4 linked regions of the Saccharomyces cerevisiae S288C genome follow. The protein of the gene in region 1 interacts with the protein of each later gene in a biochemical or structural test. Each region holds a gene or a part of one and is shown on either strand. Other genes may lie near its edges.

Region 1 (4,829 bases):
TTCAGAGAACCACAATGTTTTGATGTGATAGTGGCACCAAACCTATACGGGGATATATTATCTGACGGTGCTGCTGCTTTAGTCGGTTCATTAGGTGTTGTTCCAAGCGCCAACGTAGGTCCAGAAATTGTCATTGGTGAACCATGCCATGGTTCTGCACCAGATATTGCTGGTAAAGGTATTGCTAACCCAATCGCCACTATAAGATCTACTGCTTTGATGTTGGAATTCTTGGGCCACAACGAAGCTGCCCAAGATATCTACAAGGCTGTTGATGCTAACTTAAGAGAGGGTTCTATCAAGACACCAGATTTAGGTGGTAAGGCTTCTACTCAACAAGTCGTTGACGACGTTTTGTCGAGATTATAGAGCATATAATAGGAAAATAGAAACGAATAAATAAATGAATGAGTGACAAGATATATTTCAAAAAATTTCAAATGATTGACGAAAGAAAATTTGTACATTTTGTATGACTTTTAATATTACATAGTCTATTATGTGTGAGAGCAAGTTTTAAACTTTGCTGGGAAACCTTTTTCTAAAATCGGCTTCTAAATCATCTACGTTAACATCAACAATAGTTTCTGTGGCTTCGCTGGAAATTCTTTCAATCGGCAGTTTCTTTGATTGTAAACGACTAAAGTTTCTTATCTTCTGAATTTCTGTCCTTAAATGTAGTGGTTTTGGTGGTGGACGTGGTGGTCTTGATTTATCTTTACCGTTGCTTTTCGTTTTGATGTCCAAAACACCATCCTTAAGGGTTTTCTTAAACTTTTCTTCTGTGATTGGTGTTATTCTTACACTTGAATGTCGATTGGAAGTTTCTGTACCAATATCTGTATATTTACCATACCCGGATGCGGATTTATACGTTACCGGATCATCAGAACTCTTTAGTAAGTTATGCACTCTTCTTTGAATTGATTCCTTCTTTTCTTGATTTATATTAACGTTGCCATTATCTGGTATCAAAGTAGGCTTTGATGTCGTTTTAGCTGATGCTTGAGTTTTCTTCACTGGAGAATGAGACCTGTAATAGTCCCTTGATCCAGTTCTCGAGTTATTCCTCTCATGCTGGTCAAAATCTGATAAAATTGAAGGAGGCATACTGCGACGTTTTTCCAGTCTCTGATTCTTGTCTGATTCCTCTTTTCTTTTGGTATCAGAATTAAATTTAGGAAAGGAGGAGGTTGAAGACGAAACTAATCGCCTGTTTGTATTGTTACCATTGCCGTTGACATTGTTATTATCAAAGGAAGCAGACCTGCTATTGTTCACTGAGTTTCCTGTAAACCCATGACGAAGCTTACCAAATGCTGATCTGATACTATCACCAGTATTTTGCCTTGATTTAATCGGAGAATTGCCGCGAGATTCACCAGTAATAACCTTTTTTAACTTAGAGCTTAGTGAACGCACAATCTTGCTTCCATTTATATTATCTGGAGCAGCAATTTCTTTTGTGGAGCTTAGTGATTTGCTTGTAATGGTGGGAGATAGTTTTAAGTTTGGCACAGCCATGTTATCTATAGTTTGCGTCTCAGAATCAACGTAGTTATTTGGACGATTTATTGCCGAAACTCTATCAAAAATGTCATTATTAACAGGAGTAAGCGATAATGGAGGCATAGACTTCCTTTGTGGGGATTGGAAACTTTCTACTGATTTGAAAGTCTGAGACTTTTGAAAAGGGTGTAGCTCTTTATAATATAGTGATGCAAATTCATCAGAAAGTGGAACGGATTTTGTTTTCATTAAGGGACTAGTCAAATTTGAATGGCTTCCAACCTGTAAGCCAGCATGCGCCGTTACTTCTGTCTTGTTATTATCATTAATAGATATAGGGAAAGTACCCAAATTAGGAGTAGTACTGACGTGAGTTACAGGCATCATATTTGGTGGCTGGTTGATGCTCTGAAGGCTTTGTACGGGAATAAATTTCTGTGTTGGAACATAAGTTGTCGAAGACGGTTCACCGGCCAATTGGGTATTCGCATTCTGATTCATTGCTCTTAACAAGTAAAAATTTCTAATCGGGCAAGGCTTATTCTGTAACCTGGAAACCTCCTCTAAAACTTGACAAATATTTGGCCTCTGAGATGGTGCTTCCATTAACATAAGACGTATCAAATTTTTCAACCTGTCACTATACTGCGGAAAGGATGGATATTGATACCTTGCATGTAGTATACCGGCTTCACCACTTTTTTCAAACGGCGTAGTATAGTAACATATTTTGTAAAGAAAGACACCAAGAGCCCAAATATCAGATTTTTCGTCGATAGGTAACCCTCTGTACAGGTCAATCATTTCAGGTGATCTATACTGAGCTGTAGTATTTGTTAGGATGTCGTGTTGAACATAATTAAACTCTTGAGTATTTCTAGGTGGCCTTATCACACCGGAAACGGAACCAAAATCACAAACTTTATACAAGCCATCATGAGAAATAAGTACATTCTCAATCTTAATATCTCTATGAATCAATGGCGGCTGCAGAGCGTGCATTGCAGTTATACCTTGGACGGTTTGACTCATAATTTCTAATATTTCAGATTCTTGTAATCTATTTTGTAATCTGGTGTTCATAAAATCTATAAGACCTCCACGTTCACAAAATTCCATTAACACAAACACCTCATATGCTATACCATTTACAGACCTTGCAGCATGTGAATCTATGTAAGAAACAACATGCTTATTATTTCTAAGGAGTTTCATAGCATCCACTTCAGCTCTCAAGGTATTTAAACCCTGTTTATGGGGGACAATGACTCTTTTCAAGCATGCTATGTTAGCATTGCTATATGGGTCAGGAGGGGAAATTTCGGCAGTATATACTTGTGCGAATCCACCACTCGTAAGGTATTTGATAATCTTAGCATGATGAGATCCCACAGTTAATATTGTCCCGGGTTCATACAGACTAATCTGTGGAGTATTCATTGTTTTTGGATCAGTTCAACTAAAGATAGGAGGTTACAAATAATCTTGATCAACACTTCAATCAAAAAAGATTTTTTTCGCTGAAGATAATAAACTATCCCACAATGGAAATTCAACCTGTATTAGCGAACTAACTTATGTTCAAGTGGAGCCTGTGACCTGCCTGCTTGGTGACTTTTTTAGCGTTTCCTAAATGTACTGTTCTATATTTTTCTTTTTCCAAGACCTTCGCTCTGCATACGCCTGCCTGGTTATAATTACAGTTTTTTTTAAAAACCTTTACTAAGAATAAATAGTAACAGCTAGTGCAAACTAACGACATTGACATTTACTTGATATAAAATAATTGAGAGCGATCATATATATCGGAAATCTCTATCAGTACTAATATTAAATTTACATGAAATACTTCAACAAATTCCTGGTCTCTTGGCCCAGTTGGTTAAGGCACCGTGCTAATAACGCGGGGATCAGCGGTTCGATCCCGCTAGAGACCACTTATTTTTATGACTTCTTGGAAGTCAATTTTTTTTTCCTTCTGAATCAGTAATAACAAAAGTCGTAGTTGATCTTGTTATTGGATCATGTACATCAGTATTATTAATGATTTTAGTATTTCAAGCTGGCTCCCATATTTTTCTCCTGTAGAAAGAATGTAAATTATTCGGAAAAAAAAAAAAAAAAAGAAAAGAATTGGCGATGCGATGAGCTTAAAAGAAAACCTTCCATTACTTAAATTCATTGGAGCCTGACAACGTTTAGTAACGTTAAAATCATAGATTAACACCAATCATAACCTAAAATTATCAATGGCCAGGAAATTGAAGGGTAAGATTGGGAGTAAAGGCCTAAAAGGTGCATTATTAAGGCACAAGGCCAAAGTGAAATTAGTGAGGAATATTGAAAGTAAGCAAAAACATGAACTAAGAAAGAAAAATTCGAGCGCTAATAACAAAACCGTGAAGAGAAACCAAGAATTCCAAAAACTTAATCAAGGGAAGGTTATGCCCTTTGAGAAGGATGAAACTTTGATGCTATGTGGTGAAGGAGATTTTTCTTTTGCCAGATCCATTGTTGAACAAAACTATATTGAAAGTGACAATTTAATCATAACAAGTTACGATAATTCTGTGAATGAGCTGAAATTGAAATATCCGCATACTTTTGAGGAAAATTACCAGTACTTAAAAGATCTAAATATTCCGATATTTTTCCAGATTGACGTTACGAAGCTCGTAAAGAGCTTTAAAATTTCCAAAAATAATACTTGGTTTAAAATAATCAACAGGCTTAGCGATCATCGTTGGGGTAACAAACCTTTACAAAATATAGTTTTCAATTTTCCCCATAATGGAAAAGGTATTAAGGATCAAGAAAGAAATATTAGAGAGCATCAGGACTTAATTTTTAACTTTTTCCAAAATTCCTTACAATTATTTAATCTTATAAACACGAAAATTCAAAATGATACTCTTCGTTATACGCAAGGCTATGATCTTAATGAGGATACTCCCCAGGCTAAAAAATTGACCGCCGAAGGTTATGGTAACATCATACTGTCCCTTTTCGATGGAGAGCCCTATGATTCATGGCAAATCAAACTTTTAGCCAAAAAAAATGGACTAACTCTGAGCAGATCGAGCAAATTCCAATGGGAAAATTTTCCAGGATATCATCACCGGAGAACGAATAGCGAACAAGATACTACAAAACCTGCGAAAGAACGTGATGCTAGGTTCTACATCTTTAGTAAATATGTCTCGAATAGTTCAAAACATAACCGTAAAAGCAAAAAAGACACAGATTCTGATTCAGACTAAGTACAGAAGGAAGAATGTCGCCATGTTGATGAAAGAACTTTCATTTTCCCTAATTCTTAT
Region 2 (4,849 bases), on another chromosome or scaffold:
TTATGTATAGAGTATCGCCACTGACATACCTCATTGATGCTCTGCTATCGGTAGGACTGGCCAATGCTAGTGTCGTTTGTTCCAGCAACGAACTTTTAAAAATTGTTCCTCCAAGCGGTATGACATGCTCGGAATATATGGAACCTTATATGCAATCCACCGGGACGGGTTATCTGCTCGATGGGAGTTCCGAAACTGAATGTCACTTTTGTCAATTCAGTTCTACCAATGATTATCTGGCGACTGTGAGTTCTTCGTATTCACGTAGATGGATGAACTATGGCATTTTTAGTGCATATATTGTCTTTGACTATTGTGCAGCAATATTTTTATACTGGCTGGTGCGGGTTCCAAAGAAAAGCAAAAAATTAAAGAAATAATTAAATATTACTGGCTACATTCATTGTATATGCAAAATTAGTTAACTATTGTTCAGAGGTTTACGCCATGTTGCTAAATGTTTGGTGAAACTAAAAGACTAGCTCAATAATCAAGACAATAAATAATGCTAGTAAACAGGTGTTCATAAATTACATCACTTTTGTGACTTTATGTACACATATACCTACATATATTATCTTTCAAAACTATACACCTCGTTTAGCTTACGATACTATGGTCTCCTATTATATTGGATTTGTAAAGCATCGACTTGCTGCTGCAATGACTGCAAGTTACCCAAAATATCGCTTGAATTGGATCTATTAACATCTGCAGTGAATGGAAATTGCTGCTGCTGTTGCTGTTGCTGTTGATGAACTTGCTGCCCTAGCATTCCGTAATTAGGCTTGTTAGGTTGGCTATGTATATCACTGTTGTTTAAGTGAAGTTGCCCCGGATGTTGTTGCATTTGAGAAAGTTGGCCACCATATATTCGTTGTTGAGTTTGTTGTTGTTGTTGCTGCTGAATATACGTCTGATGAGATTGAGTATTGTTCATTGCCGCACTAGTATTTTGGAATGAACTTATGCCATTACTGGCGTTATTGCCATTAACAGTAGACGCATTTGATGGCGTAGGATTTGGAGATGGTGAAGAAGAAAGTAAAGATTGAAAGTAACTATTAGCAGCATTCTGAGGTGACAAAAAATTTGGAGATTGTATGCTTGGTGAATTTGTATAGGAGGGTTGGGTCGGCACCAAATTATTCTGCTTTTGCACGTTAGAGTACATATGTTGAGGTGGCACAATGGCCCCTTGTTGCTGCTGCTGAGCGCGTGGAGGTGGAGGAGGTGGAAGATGTTGGGGCTGCTGTTGATTATTAGTATACGTATTCTGGGGGGATATCATTGTTGCTTGATTATTGGAATAAGTATGTTGCGGAGAAAGAATGGGCTGATTTTGAGTGAAGGTATTTTGTGGAGATATCAATTGCGACCGTTGGTGCTGCGGGATCGTATTTTGAGGAGAAAGCAAATGCGATTGCTGATGTTGAGGAAGAGTGTTTTGAGGGGGGAATGCACCAGTTATTTCTACTTTCGGCATGGATACGATGTTACCATTATTAATCCGAACATTGTTAGAGTAGGTGTGTTGAGGCGATATGTTAGATGGTTCAATTTTCGCTTGAGTCGGATTAACCTCTTGGTAAGGTTGCTGTTGATTGCTTTGAGGAAGAGTAATGTTCGGAGAATTCAGAAATGCTGGTCCTGTACTTTGTGGAGATGAAGATTGGTTCGTAAATTGCGCCTGAAACATCGAAGATACTGGGTTATTAACTGAAGGTGAGATATGCTGTTTCATCAAGTAATTTGCAGAACCTGTGGCGGTAGGTTTCAAAGGTTGAAGTCCCCCAGAGTTTGTAACTGTTTCTGGTGTACTCGAAGGTTTGATAGACTGAGGTTGTTCCATATGACTTCGCATCAAATAATTTGCAGAGCCCGTTGCTGTTGGTTTTAAAGGTTGTAAACCTGTTTGGATGGCACCGTTGCTTGGATGCAACCCCTGATTATATTCTTCTCGCACCAGGTGATTAGCTGAACCTGTGGCGGTTGGCTTCAAAGGTTCTAACGGAAGTTGCTGTGGAACAGTGGTGTTATTCACATTGCTAGTTGGTAGAGTATTGCCATTCTGTAAAAATACCGATGAAATTGGCAATGAGGCAGAATCAACAGTCTGTATTTGTTTGAAATGGGACAAGGAATCCTTCATATCCTCCAAAACTTTCTTCTCCTCCTCAGTTTCTTGTTGTTCGCTGGGCAAACTCGAAACTAATCCGCTGTTTTTTCTCCGCTTATATAGCCTCTTTAATAATTGATCCATGGGCAATGTGAAATCCAAAGGACTGTCATTATTAGAATCCTGATCTTCATCTTCTGCATCAGGATCTTGCTTTCTTGCTTCACTATTATTAGATGATTCTTGATTGAGGTTTGGAGGGTCTTGAAATGTTATATGCTCTGAAAACCTAACCTTCTTACTCTTAAAATTCAAATTTTTGATTCTTCTCCTGACTCTTTTTCTCGTTGTCTTACCAGTCAACAGCAATGAAGCAAATGAGTCAAAATCGACCTTTTGATCACCAGTTTTGGCAGAACTATCATCGTCTTCCACCTCCTCGTACACCTCTTCGTGATTCTCACTACTTAGGATAGGACGTGGTTTGGGAACAGGTGCCTTTTCCAAGATCATGCGTCTTAGAGGTAAGATGCCATATATAATAGCTCTAGAAACTAATCTTAAAACAGCGAAAAATTGACCAATATTTAACGCATTTTTACAGCTACGGAAAATTTCCACAATTCTATCTTTTACTTTTTGTGATAAATTAAAATTGGTCAAGAACCTAAACACGTCGTTCAATCTTACTAGTTTTCCATGGGTTCTCAAACATATATAGTGGTACCATCTTAGATATGTCCTTATTTCTTCATGGGTAAGTTGGTTTTGTGATAAAGACAATGGGACTTGCATGTCTTCTGGTGACTCCGCGTACACATCGCCTCCAGAAAGTGTTCGTACCTCCCCATTAGGTGGATTATCCTTTTGAGGAGAGCTCACGTTAGTGGCATTATCAGCTGCTGTATTTGAGTGATTATTTCTGTAAGACAAAGTTGTATCACTGTGACTTCTTGATCCCTGATCCCAAAAGCTGGAATCATGTGGAGCAGCAGTATTTATACCAAAATCAAAAGACACACTGGGTGGTCCTAATCCATTCGATGGCCTCTTTTCTGCTTGGTCCCCGCTGCTTAAGTCCAATCCCGGAACATTAAGCCAATCAAACGACATGTTTCGTTACCATGTAAAATTTATCGAGCCTGCAATGATCTATAAAATCTTAGCTAACGAGAAGATGCAGATAATTTGGGTTTTGAATTCCTATTTTGAATTCTACCTTTTGTTTTGTCCCCGTTTCCTAATGTTAACTCTTTTTCTAATAGGGGCAACTTACTTTTGTTTTCTCATTTGGCGAAAAAAAGTAAGTAGAAATAAATAAAAAAATAATATTATAATGTGCTGTATATATAAATACAAATGCGAAAGCTAATGCAGATTTTGCCTAGTACTCTCTAGAAATAGTAATGTCCCTTTCCAGCTCAACCAAATTTCTATTTGTAGTGCTTGACTTCCTTGCCGGCAATTTTTTGGAATGTACTGCTTTCGCAGTCTTTCTTATTGGCGATGATGATGCCGTTCTTGCTTGTGATGGTTTCTTTTTATAATTAGATTTGTCGTTCAGAACGTCGTCAATCACTCCATCTATAGGAATATTAAAGAATTGTTTTTCTGTCTCCAAAGTATAGTCTAACGGTTTATTTGCACATTCATAGAACGCTTCAAATGCCTTCCTGCCACCATACACTCTTTTGTACTTCCTTTCCATAGGCGTGGTATTCTTTTTTCTGGTTAATTTTTTCTTATTTTCGTCATCTATCCTGTTTTCCTTCTTTCTCCTGTTCTCCAGCAATTGCTTTTCTGGGATTGCTGAATCGTTAGCAATTTTATGAAGTGTGGGATAATCTGGCATATTGACAGGTAATCTGATTCGTTGATCAGCTTTGGCATTTTTGGTACCATCTAAAAAATTGGATCCCATAATACGTACTTTAGTCCTTTTGCCCTTCTCGACATCCTTTATATAGTCTAGGAGGCTGTACTCTGCAGTGTTCCCATCTCTAGCGTATTCTTTGGATGTACACTCCCGCAGATACTCATCTTCTAGCCGATTCACATCGCGCTTATCTGACTGGACTTGCATCGCAAGAAAATATTTTAAGAACTCTGGAGTATAAGATTTATTATATTCTTCAAATACAGGTTCTCTGTAGTTATAGGCATATTGTGATACTTTGCTGTCGATATCGAGATTTGGTTTACCCAATTTACTATTGGATTTGTCTAGCAGTTGATTGATATCAAGCGCCTCCCCATGAGGAATGGCGGTTTTGTTCGAGGGGGTTATGCAGTCCATATTGACTTCTTTACGTATGACAGAATCAATATCTACTTGCGAGAAAAAGGCACAGTTTTGCGGTAATTCATTTATCCCCATTTGCTGGCAAAACATTGCTCTCGTCCATATGTTGCTGATTTGCAAAGCCATAGCAGCTCTGTATTTGTCCTTTTCGCTCACCAAAAATCTAATCTCATCATGGATGGAAATGCAAAGCCTTGCCTCAAGGTTATATTTCTTAATAATATATTCCATGGAGCAACAAAGAAGATGTAGATAATCCACTCCAGATGACTGGATGGCCCAATTGATTCTTGAAGGTAGAAAGGAATTCGCCCTCAGATTTTTCTTCATAAGTGAATAGGTAATACCACATCCCAGTACCGGTGTCTTTGGAGTTTCTTGTTCCGCGATGCTTTCTAATTTATTGAATAGAATTGACTCAGATCCAC
Region 3 (6,629 bases), 180 kb from region 1:
ATGTAACCACAGTTTGGCTCGTTCATAGACTCTAATCCAATAATGCAGTTGCTCTCAAACAACTCAGGAGCCTTTTCTTTAATTCTTGCGCACAGTGTCATGATTGCATCATTAAACCTTCCTTGCAAGTAATCCTGTATGTTTTCTCCATTAATTGTGCACTTAGGAGCATATTGTTTCCCACCAAAGAATAACGTAAACATTGTTTGACACGCCAGTTTGAAGTAGTTTGTAGGCCAAACCATCTTAGGGTAGGACTCTTCATCTTTGCCAACTTCCCTGCCCGTTTTGGGGTCAATATAATAATTATGTAAGATTGCAGCATCGGTGGCCAGGAAGTTTGCAGGTTGAAACCCTGCACAGTATAAGGTCCATAGCGGTGCTCCAGATCCACCGCTAAACCTAGACCAGACGTCTTGGTGAGGGTCCAAATAAATGTACATACCTTGTTGTACGCTGTTAATCCTGGTTAGTACCTCGACGATATAATCCATATAGTCAAAATCGTACTGTCCTGGACCAGCATGTTCAAGAGATTCCCAGGTGAAGGGTAAACGAATGGTATTGTAACCCAGTGATTTCAATCTGATGATATGCTGTTCGATATCATCAAGAACTAAGGGGTGATTGATGAAACTGACTTTATCAGCATCCTCGAAAAACGTGTCATTTTCTATGGGAGCGTGGGTGGATAGGAATGGCTTTGCAGGGATTTTAACTGACGGATCCAAATTGACACCACGCAATTGGATCTCGTTGCCATCTTTATCGCAAAACTGACCGTCTGCAGAAATGTGTATTTTGGCAGGCATATGATCTGTTCTTATTAAATTCAAACAATTTAGGTACGAAAGAAAAAGAAATAAATAAATAAAAAAAGAGAAGAAAGGTTAAGAAAATAACTGTCAGTAGAATTATTGCGAAATATAGAATTAATATTAATTCCATTGTTAAGGTTTACCAGAGATATAGAAACCTTAAACGAAGGCAATATTCGAGCGGATATGAAAAAAATAAAATAAACATACTCCGATACGGGGAGTCGAACCCCGGTCTCCACGGTGAAAGCGTGATGTGATAGCCGTTACACTATATCGGATTATAATCTATATTTTTTCTACTTCGATCTTATGTACTACTAATTTGATAATTTTGGGTTTAATATGGTTTTTTACTGAAGTACCTGCTTACCAACAGTAGAGATATTTAACGAATGCTTTCCTAAGACGCTTTTTATGCTTCAATTGGGCAGATATTAAAAATTCATCAATTAACAATGTTTATTTGACAATCTGGTTCGTCAAAAAAAAAAAAAAAAAATCACGTCCAGATCTGTTAAACCTTAAAGGTAGGTGCTCACGATAACCGATTGATCTCTCAGTCGCATAGTAGCTATGTATACTCTGTTTATCAATCGCTTGTTATTATAAATTGGCTTGATCACATGACACGTCGACGATATTTTTTTCTTGTTAGGGGCAAAAGTTGGTATTGGAAGAAAAAAAGCATTAGAAAGCCATATAGATCTATTGGCGAAACACACGTCGAGAAGCAGGAAGAGGAAGAATCTATCAGCGACGCGAAATTGCTAATCTGTACAACTGAATATGTATAACCCGTACCAGCAACAGGGCATGGGTTACCAGCAGCAACAGCAGCAACAGCAGCAACAACCAAATGGATTCTACCCGCAGCAGCAGCAAGGTCAGTCTTCAAACCAGCCCCAAGGCCAGCCTCAACCACAACAGCAAATGGCGTTTAACCAGCCTCAGGCTACCGGAATTGGTGGGATGCCTCAAAGTTTTGGTAATTCTTTCTCAAGTATGCCACAGCAGCCCCAAACGGGTTACAATAATAATGGAAATAATGGTAGTGTATATGGTAATGGTAATTTTGGCCAACAACCCCAGCAGCAACAACAGCAGGCGAAACCGCAGCATACGGGATACGTACCAAATTCCAGTATGCCTATGATGAATACTACTGGCACCATGCCTCCACCTAATCCGGCTCAACAGCCTCAGCTACAATCCATACAACCCCAAGGAACAGGCTATTACCAAGCTGCTAATACTGCAAATGTACACTCAGTACAACCTTTGCAATCTCAAGGGACAGGATATTATGTGTCTACACCCAATTTGATCTCTTCTAATCAAACCCAGCAGCCCCTTCAGGCCCAGGGCACTGGTTATTATCAATCTCAACCTCAACAGGTGCCACCTCCTCAGCAAGCACAGTCCTTGCAACCTTTGAAGCCGCAGCAAACAGGATTTTACCTTCAACCGCAAAACCAAGCTCCCTTAGAACCATTAAAGCCCACCGCAACTGGCTTTGTCAACTCATTTGCCAACAACGGTCTAAACAATGATATCAAAATCCCTGCCATTAGATTGTCGTTTATTACTGCCCAAGATCAGGCAAAATTTGAGACTCTATTCAGATCAATTGTTACCAATGGTTCGAATACTGTTTCCGGTGCTAATTGTAGGAAAATTTTGATGAGATCCGGTTTGCCACCTTCTCAACTCGCAAGAATTTGGACGCTTTGTGATACATCAAAAGCAGGTGAGTTACTGTTTCCTGAATTTGCATTAGCAATGCATTTGATCAATGATGTCTTACAAGGTGACACTATCCCTTACGAATTGGATTCTAAGACAAAAAACGAAGTTTCAAGTTTTATTGACGCCATTAATTTAAGCATTGCAAACCAGGATTCTTCCGCAAACGATGCCCCAAAAACTCCCTTTGATGAATTCATTACAGCGGGCGTACAAAATTTGCAACCTCAACCAACAGGATATATGCCTCAAACTAGTTTTGGTATCCCATTACAGTCTCAAATTACTGGAGGCGGTGTTGCCTCGGCGTTGAATCCTCAATCCACAGGATTTATGGCACCAACCACTTTCAACATGTCAATGAATACCGGAACTCCCGGATTGAACCCCCAAATTACTGGAGGAGCACCTGCCTCTATGCAACCCAACATTACTGGCAATGCTTTGCAACCTCAGACAACTGGTATGATGCCACAGACAACTGGTATGATGCCACAGACAACTGGTATGATGCCACAGACTTCATTTGGCGTTAATTTAGGACCTCAGTTGACCGGCGGTGCTTTGCAATCTCAGTATACCGGAGGATATGGTTCCGTTATGCCCCAGCAAAGCGGTCCTGCAAGTATGCCCAATTTGTCCTTTAATCAACAAGGATTACAATCTCAGTTAACCGGGTTGCAACCCCAACCAACGGGTTTTCTACCACCATCTAACTTTAGTGCTACCATGCCGTTGACTGCCCAAAAGACAGGATTTGGTAATAACGAAATTTATACCAAATCCAACTTTAATAATAACTTAATTGATAACTCAAGTCAAGACAAAATTTCCACGGAGGAAAAATCTTTGTTTTATAAAATTTTTGAAACTTTTGATACTCAAAACAAAGGTTTGTTAGATTCCCCCACTGCTGTGGAGATTTTTAGAAAATCTGGCTTAAATCGTGCAGATTTGGAGCAAATTTGGAACCTTTGTGATATAAACAACACCGGCCAATTGAATAAACAAGAATTTGCACTAGGTATGCACTTGGTTTACGGTAAATTAAACGGGAAGCCAATCCCCAATGTCCTACCTTCAAGTTTAATTCCCTCCAGCACAAAACTTTTAGACAACTTAAAGAACCAATTAAAGACAGAGCCAACGACCACAAAAGAAAAACCTTCGTTTGGTAAAATCGATGCCTTGAGCTACAAAAATAATGATGATGATGTTTTGCCGAACTATAGAAATCGTAGGAAGGTTTACTCTGCGAAAAATGAAGAGCAATCTTCTTTTTCTTCACCATCTGCTAAATCTGTTAATCATTCTAGCAGCACCCTTCAAACCGATGACATTTCGGTAGATAAGACTGTTGAAAAGAAGACAGCGAAACCAAAATATGCTGGGTTTTCAAGAGAAATAAATCTGAAAAATATTGCTTCACTGGAAAATGAGATCAAAAATATCAGCAATCCTGAAAACTGTTATGACAGTTCTATTCCATCAGATTTGACAAGCCGCTTTGATGCCATCATCGCCAAACTTCCAAACCTATTCAATGAAATTTCTACAATTGATAATGAGATTACCAATGCAAAAATTCAGTTGTATAGAAAAAAAAATCCTTCTTCGATAATTGGATCTGGTCCAAATGGTGAAATAACTGAAAATGATAGGAAGAAAGCTAAGAGTAGGGCTTTGTTGAGAGCAAGGATGTCTGCTCTAACAGGAAAATCAACGGAATCGGAGGATTCACTTTCCATGGAAGATGAACAGCAAAGTGCTGAAATCAAGAGAATCCAGCAGGAAAATGGTAAGAACCAAGAAATCATTAAAGACATAAGGTCATCTATATCAGATATTTCTGCATCCTTGAAGTCTACTATGACAGGATCGAATATGATATCCAATCAAGAATTTGAAAGATGGGAATTTGGCATAGGGTTAGAAGATGGTGTTCGTGAATTTTTGGATGATCTGAAGTCAAATTCAAATAAATCAGTGACTGAGTCATCTCCCTTTGTGCCTTCCTCAACACCAACCCCTGTAGATGACCGTTCCTCGTCGCCTTCTTATTCTCAGTTCAAAACTGCTGAAGAAAGAGCAGCTTATCTGAAAGAACAGGCAAAAAAGAGAATGAAGGAAAAATTAGCTAAATTTGATAAGAATAGGCGAAATGTTACTCAAAGTTCCAGATCGATTAGCAGTGAAAACTCTCGAGAACAGCCACAACAGATTGCTGGTTCTTCCAATTTAGTTGAACCTAGAGCAACTCCATTCCAAGAAGAAAAATATGTGGAAGTCGCTCAACCAACTCAACCTGTTCAATCAACACAACCTGTTCAACCAACTCAACCTGTTCAGCCAACTCAACCTGTTCAGCCAACTCAACCTGTTCAGCCAACTCAACCTGTTCAACCAACTCAACCTGTTCAGAATGTATATAATGCAAAGCAAGAATCCGATGATGAAGATGAAGATGATGAAGAAAAGCGTTTACAAGAGGAGCTAAAACGATTGAAACTTAAAAAAAAGGCTGATAAAGAAAAAAGACTTGCAGCTTTACGTAAGCAAATTGAGGATGCTCAAAATGAAAGTGACGAAGAGGAGACAAACGGAAAAGACAACTTTGGCGGCCATGTGAACGTTCCTCAGGCCGCTCCAGTGGCACCATCTGCAGCTTTTTCGCAAAATTCTACTAATGCTCCTCGCTCGGTACACGCTGCTGTTACCCCTGCCGCAGGTAAGAACAGTACTGGTCTGCCTTCCACGACAATGGGCCATAATCCATACTTCAAGGATGCATCAGCTAGCTCTACATCTACTTTCGATGCTCGCGCTGCAGAAATGCAAAGAAGAATCCAAAGAGGATTGGATGAGGACGAGGATGATGGATGGTCTGATGAAGACGAGAGTAATAACCGCGTAGCTGTAGATAATAAGGTTGAAGAAGCAAAGATTGGTCATCCTGATCATGCACGTGCTCCACCTGTTACTGCTGCTCCCTTGCCGTCTGTTACCCCTGTTCCACCTGCTGTCCCTGTCCCTCAGGCGAATACCTCTAATGAAAAGAGTAGTCCTATTCCAATAGCTCCGATACCACCTTCTGTTACTCAGGAGCCACCCGTCCCGTTGGCTCCCCCTTTGCCTGCTGTTGATGGCTTTCAAGAACCTCCAATTCCCTCAGCACCTGCAATAGCTACTGCCGTGCAAAAATCGGGTTCTTCCACCCCAGCTTTAGCTGGAGGCGTTTTGCCTCCACCCCCACCTTTACCAACTCAACAAGCTTCCACTTCAGAACCTATTATCGCTCACGTTGATAACTACAATGGTGCTGAAAAAGGCACGGGCGCATATGGATCCGATTCTGATGATGACGTTTTATCGATTCCTGAATCAGTTGGTACAGATGAAGAGGAAGAAGGGGCACAACCAGTTTCTACTGCAGGTATCCCATCAATTCCACCTGCAGGTATTCCTCCACCCCCACCCCTTCCATGAAGATTTAATTTGCTTTCTATAGATACGTATGTATACTAATTTCTGAAAGGATGTAGAATTACAAATATGATATTGATTATTTTTTTCTAGGCTATATGAATATAAGATATGCGATGAAAGAAAAAATTATTTAATTTGGTTGGTCCTTTTTAGCCAAAATGAGTTTCTCAGCATTGTTCTTCGAAACTATATCTCGATCCAATTCTTCCTTTACAGCTTCATAGTATTTTTGTAAACTCCTTTTTGGCCTATAAAAAGTATGATCAATTTTGAGGGCTCTACCGCCAATTTTAAATCCATTTAAATTATCGACTGCTAGAATCGTTGACCGTTGATCCTCATATTTCAAATATGCAAAACCTTGCGATTCTCCTGTGTTTTCATCCCTGCTAAGAATTACATCTACAGGGACTCCATATTCAGAAAAGACTGTCAATATGTCACCTTCTGTTAATTCTCGGTTGAGATTTCCGATATATATATAAGCATTATCCTTATATTCATTATGCCATGATTGATGCGGGCTAAGAATTCCACTTTGTAGTTCTTTATCGTTGATTTGCTGAATTTTGTTCATTG
Region 4 (3,806 bases), on another chromosome or scaffold:
GAATTAATGAAAGCATGTCTGTACAGGAACCCAGACAAAAGATGGACTGTGGATAAAGTCCTGAGTAGCACTTTCCTTCAACCTTTTATGATATCCGGATCGATTATGGAAGACCTTATTAGGAATGCCGTTAGATATGGCTCTGAGAAGCCTCATATATCACAAGATGATCTCAATGATGTGGTAGACACTGTTTTAAGGAAATTTGCAGATTACAAAATTTAGAAGAGCCGCATAAGGAAGAAAAGCATGTGCCAGTTATGAACATAAATACATTTAGAGTTTGCCATGCATGTACTGATTTATTTACTTTGATCAACTCTTTTTTACATATTTATATATATTCATTTAAATAAATCATCAATCAATTTTTCGACACAGACACTGAATACTTGAAATACCAAGAAAAGGATAACTATCCTCTAACGGCGCTCAGTGAAATATTATATTTTGATTGCTTGTTCAACAATTGTGCCTTATTAACTTATTACATTTATATATAAGTTTATATTATTCCATTTCCATTTTTCATTCGTAGATTTAAACTTTTTTATTAATTCTTTTGGATCAATAAAGTTCAAATCTATCTTGGACCAAATTTAGTCATTGCAGATGGCCCGCTTTCTTGCCATTCTTGCTTAGACAACCACATGTGGTCTTTATCAGCCATGATACTAGCTAAAACGGCACCACCAATGAAAACCATATGCTTTCTCCTTGGAGGATCTTCAATTCTAACTTTGAATTTATCAAGTCTTGAAGGGTCATTGTGTAAAACTCTACTAAACCATAATTGTTTCAATTCTTTCTCTAATCTCGAAGGCAGCCCTGGGTACATACTTGAACCACCTGAAAGAACAATGGCCTTATACAGGGAACTTCTGATATCAACATCAGCCGATTGCACAGTATTAAATAACAGCTCGCCCACGCCAGGTTGTTCAACGTCAACCAAACCAGGTTGGAACAAACATTCTGGTGCTTCAAATCTCTCTTGTCCCACTTTGATTGTCCTGCCATCTGGTAACTCATACGATTCCACAAGGGCGGTTGTTTCTCTAGCCAATTTTGTATCTAGGTCTAAATCATATGAAACATAACATAATTTTTCCTTTATCTGACGCACAGTTTCGAAATCTGCAGTTCTGTTAAATGCATAACCACGACGAGAAAGCAGATCAATCAAATGCCTAGTAACGTCTCTACCCGCAACATCTAATCTTCTTGTTAAGTGGCTCAAAACGACAGATTCGTAAACTGGGACTATATGAGTAACACCGTCACCGGAATCGACGACGACTCCTGAAGACAAACCTTGTGCGTACAATGCTAGAACAGCTTGGATGGCAACATAAACTCCGCCAAAATCGTATTTTTCGAACATTACCTCACACATTTTTTCCCTATTTTTCAGCGGATTCATTGGAGGTTCCGTTAGTAAAATCTTACCGTTGGAGGTGGATGGTAGTTTCATTTGCTCGAAAAAGGCGTAATCCCAAAGAAGTTCCATATCTGTCCAATTCTTAATAATACCGTTTTCCATAGGATAAGATATTTGCAGATAAGAGCGAACTTCACTTGCCTCATCACCAATCATAATGTCCTTTAATGGTGTAGCAACGCTGGCACGTTCTTCCGCCCTCAAGATGGGTCTACCAACAATAGAAGGAAACGTGTAATCTGGGAAATTCTCGCCAGCACGACCAATTTTGACGAAACCAGTACCCTGATCAAGGACTATATCGAGATGGTTAGTATTAATAATATAGGGGTAAAAGAACTAAAATGCAAAAGAGGCAAAGCCAAAAGGGGCACCGAGCTCAATTGCCTCCACAAACACTAAAAATATCAACAACATACCAATTGGATTATGTGGGTCCATTATTATTATATAGTTTTGTTAGTTTATTACTGTGATTTGTCTTCTGGTACGTATATTTAACTTTCACGTCCGTTTTCTTCCATTATATGGGTCCTCAAATTGTTTTTCGCCTTTCAATTCTACAAGACGGGTAATAAGGTCATTACTAAGAATAGTATAAATACATACAACTGCTATCTATCAAACAAATATACATATCACAGAGAGATTTCACACCAAACCTTGCTTCTTAAGTTCATCGTAGACCTTCTTACTCATTACATTTCCTTCTTCGTCTTCTTCTTCTAGTTCTAATTCTGTAGGAACTTTTAGTTGTGAAGGATTAGGCTTTGGGGGAACTGCTGCAATAGATGTCAACTGTGACTGCCCCTGCATATTTTTCCAGAGCTCTTGTGCCTCCTTAATTTTGGTTATGCCCTTGAATACTGAAGAAGGTTCGATACCAAGGCATCGCAAGTGATAAATATGTCTTTCTTCGTTGAAATGTCTTTCAAAAGTGCGTCGCCCATTATAAACTTTATTCGAACAAATTTCGCAGCGATACTCTCTGTCAAGCCCATGCAGTTTGTATAGCCAGTATGGCATAGGCAATCCATCCGGACCCAATGGCATGTCAAACGATTTACCAGAGAGGTGCTCTTCTTGCAGTTGACCATCTCTCTGCTCACCATCCACTTGTTCGGCCCCCTCTTTTTCCGTCGAATCATATGCAGGTGCTTCATACTTCTGTGTTAAGATATCCATTTCTGCCATTCTTTCATTTGCAGTAAATGCCAGTTTTCTTTCAACAAAACTTCTCGTTCGAGAAAATTCATCATTTAAATATTTCAAATACCGATGCAGTTTATATTCAGAGTACACAAAATTTCTTCTTTTAGATTCATTTTTCTTATGAATTTTCCCTACTAAATGGCTTTCGAAAACGGAAGATGTCTTGAACCACCTCGAACAAAAAGGGCAATAGATACCTTTTGCCTCGGACCGAAGAGATCCCCTACAGTATGAATGTTCGAAGTCAGATTTGATTAGATTTTCAACTGCCGCAGCGTCAAGCAAAGCATAACTTTTGAAGAAAAAAGTTTCTACATATTTGCTCAACTTTAGCAAAAAGGCCATGTATCTATCATTCTTGCGATCCATCGGTGGGGTTAGCAAATATTTCTCGTCGTCCAAAAATAATTCTAGGATGTCGAGAAATTGAAGCAGTGAACAATCGCCCCGTTTAATTACATTCAACCATAAAGAATGAAATTGTTCCAGCTCCATATATTCACCATATTGCTCATCTCTAGTAAATATTTCATTTAAGTCTAGGTCTCGAGCTCTGTCAGACAATATATTTGTGCGCCTCGATGGATCAGAAGAAGATGAGAATAAAGCGTATTTGTCTTTTTTAGAGTTGATATCCAATTCAAAGTTCTCATCTTCATTTTTCAGTTCCTTCTCTAGCTGTTGTAGTTTTCTTTCGAAATTAGGCAAATCCTTGTCATCCTCCTGTGTCTCTTCTGGACGATTGATTTTATTAAAAGTTTGTTGTTTCTCTTGGTAGTCTCGAAGAAAAATATTTATCTCATGTTGCTGCAAAATTATCTGTTTTCTCTTCCTCTTAACCTTTTTAAACTTGTATATTTTATTCTCTGCAATCAACGATGATCTAGGCAGTTTAGTATCAGGAAACACCTTGCTCGATTCTTGTATATAGTGGTAATATAACTCTGGATTCCGCTGAATTCTTTCTGCTATGGCATTTTCAATAATCTCCATCTCCTCCAACAAGGACCTCCTTGTTTCAAGTAAATTCATTGAGATGATGCCCTCCTACTCCTATTAAAGCAAAATTAAATGAATGTATACACCCTCGCTTGGCTCACCGAAGGTTCTTGATCTACCGTATAACTAAGTACTTTTTATTGCACTTCGTCAG

What was found.
Region 2: of the proteins of PRK1 (region 1) and SCD5, one has a biochemical effect on the other in vitro, tested with the Saccharomyces cerevisiae proteins (one study listed by BioGRID).
Region 3: of the proteins of PRK1 (region 1) and PAN1, one has a biochemical effect on the other in vitro, tested with the Saccharomyces cerevisiae proteins (4 studies listed by BioGRID).
Region 4: the proteins of PRK1 (region 1) and ARP2 form a complex in vitro, tested with the Saccharomyces cerevisiae proteins (one study listed by BioGRID).

The regions. Positions count from the first base shown.
Region 1 is NC_001141.2:182,057-186,885, reverse strand, and holds PRK1 (serine/threonine protein kinase PRK1), read right to left. Parts: upstream 2,950-4,829; coding exon 517-2,949; downstream 1-516. Other genes in the region: LYS12 (homoisocitrate dehydrogenase), read left to right, coding at 1-369; BMT5 (25S rRNA (uracil2634-N3)-methyltransferase), read left to right, coding at 3,759-4,769. UniProt on the Saccharomyces cerevisiae protein: Protein kinase involved in the regulation of actin cytoskeleton organization and endocytosis. Phosphorylates PAN1 which disrupts the interaction between PAN1 and END3, and between PAN1 and SLA1. Phosphorylates SCD5.
Region 2 is NC_001147.6:936,118-940,966, forward strand, and holds SCD5 (Scd5p), read right to left. Parts: upstream 3,233-4,849; coding exon 614-3,232; downstream 1-613. Other genes in the region: ATP-binding cassette multidrug transporter PDR10, read left to right, coding at 1-380; DNA-directed DNA polymerase gamma MIP1, read right to left, coding at 3,504-4,849. UniProt on the Saccharomyces cerevisiae protein: Regulates both fluid phase and receptor-mediated endocytosis. Involved in vesicular transport at a late stage of the secretory pathway. Regulates actin cytoskeleton organization.
Region 3 is NC_001141.2:364,887-371,515, reverse strand, and holds PAN1 (actin cytoskeleton-regulatory complex protein PAN1), read left to right. Parts: upstream 1-1,607; coding exon 1,608-6,050; downstream 6,051-6,629. Other genes in the region: EGH1 (hydrolase), read right to left, coding at 1-812; U2 snRNP complex subunit IST3, read right to left, coding at 6,181-6,627.
Region 4 is NC_001136.10:397,416-401,221, reverse strand, and holds ARP2 (actin-related protein 2), read right to left. Parts: upstream 1,883-3,806; coding exon 1,861-1,882; intron 1,738-1,860; coding exon 584-1,737; downstream 1-583. Other genes in the region: serine/threonine/tyrosine protein kinase MPS1, read left to right, coding at 1-225; SF3a splicing factor complex subunit PRP9, read right to left, coding at 2,093-3,685. UniProt on the Saccharomyces cerevisiae protein: Functions as ATP-binding component of the Arp2/3 complex which is involved in regulation of actin polymerization and together with an activating nucleation-promoting factor (NPF) mediates the formation of branched actin networks.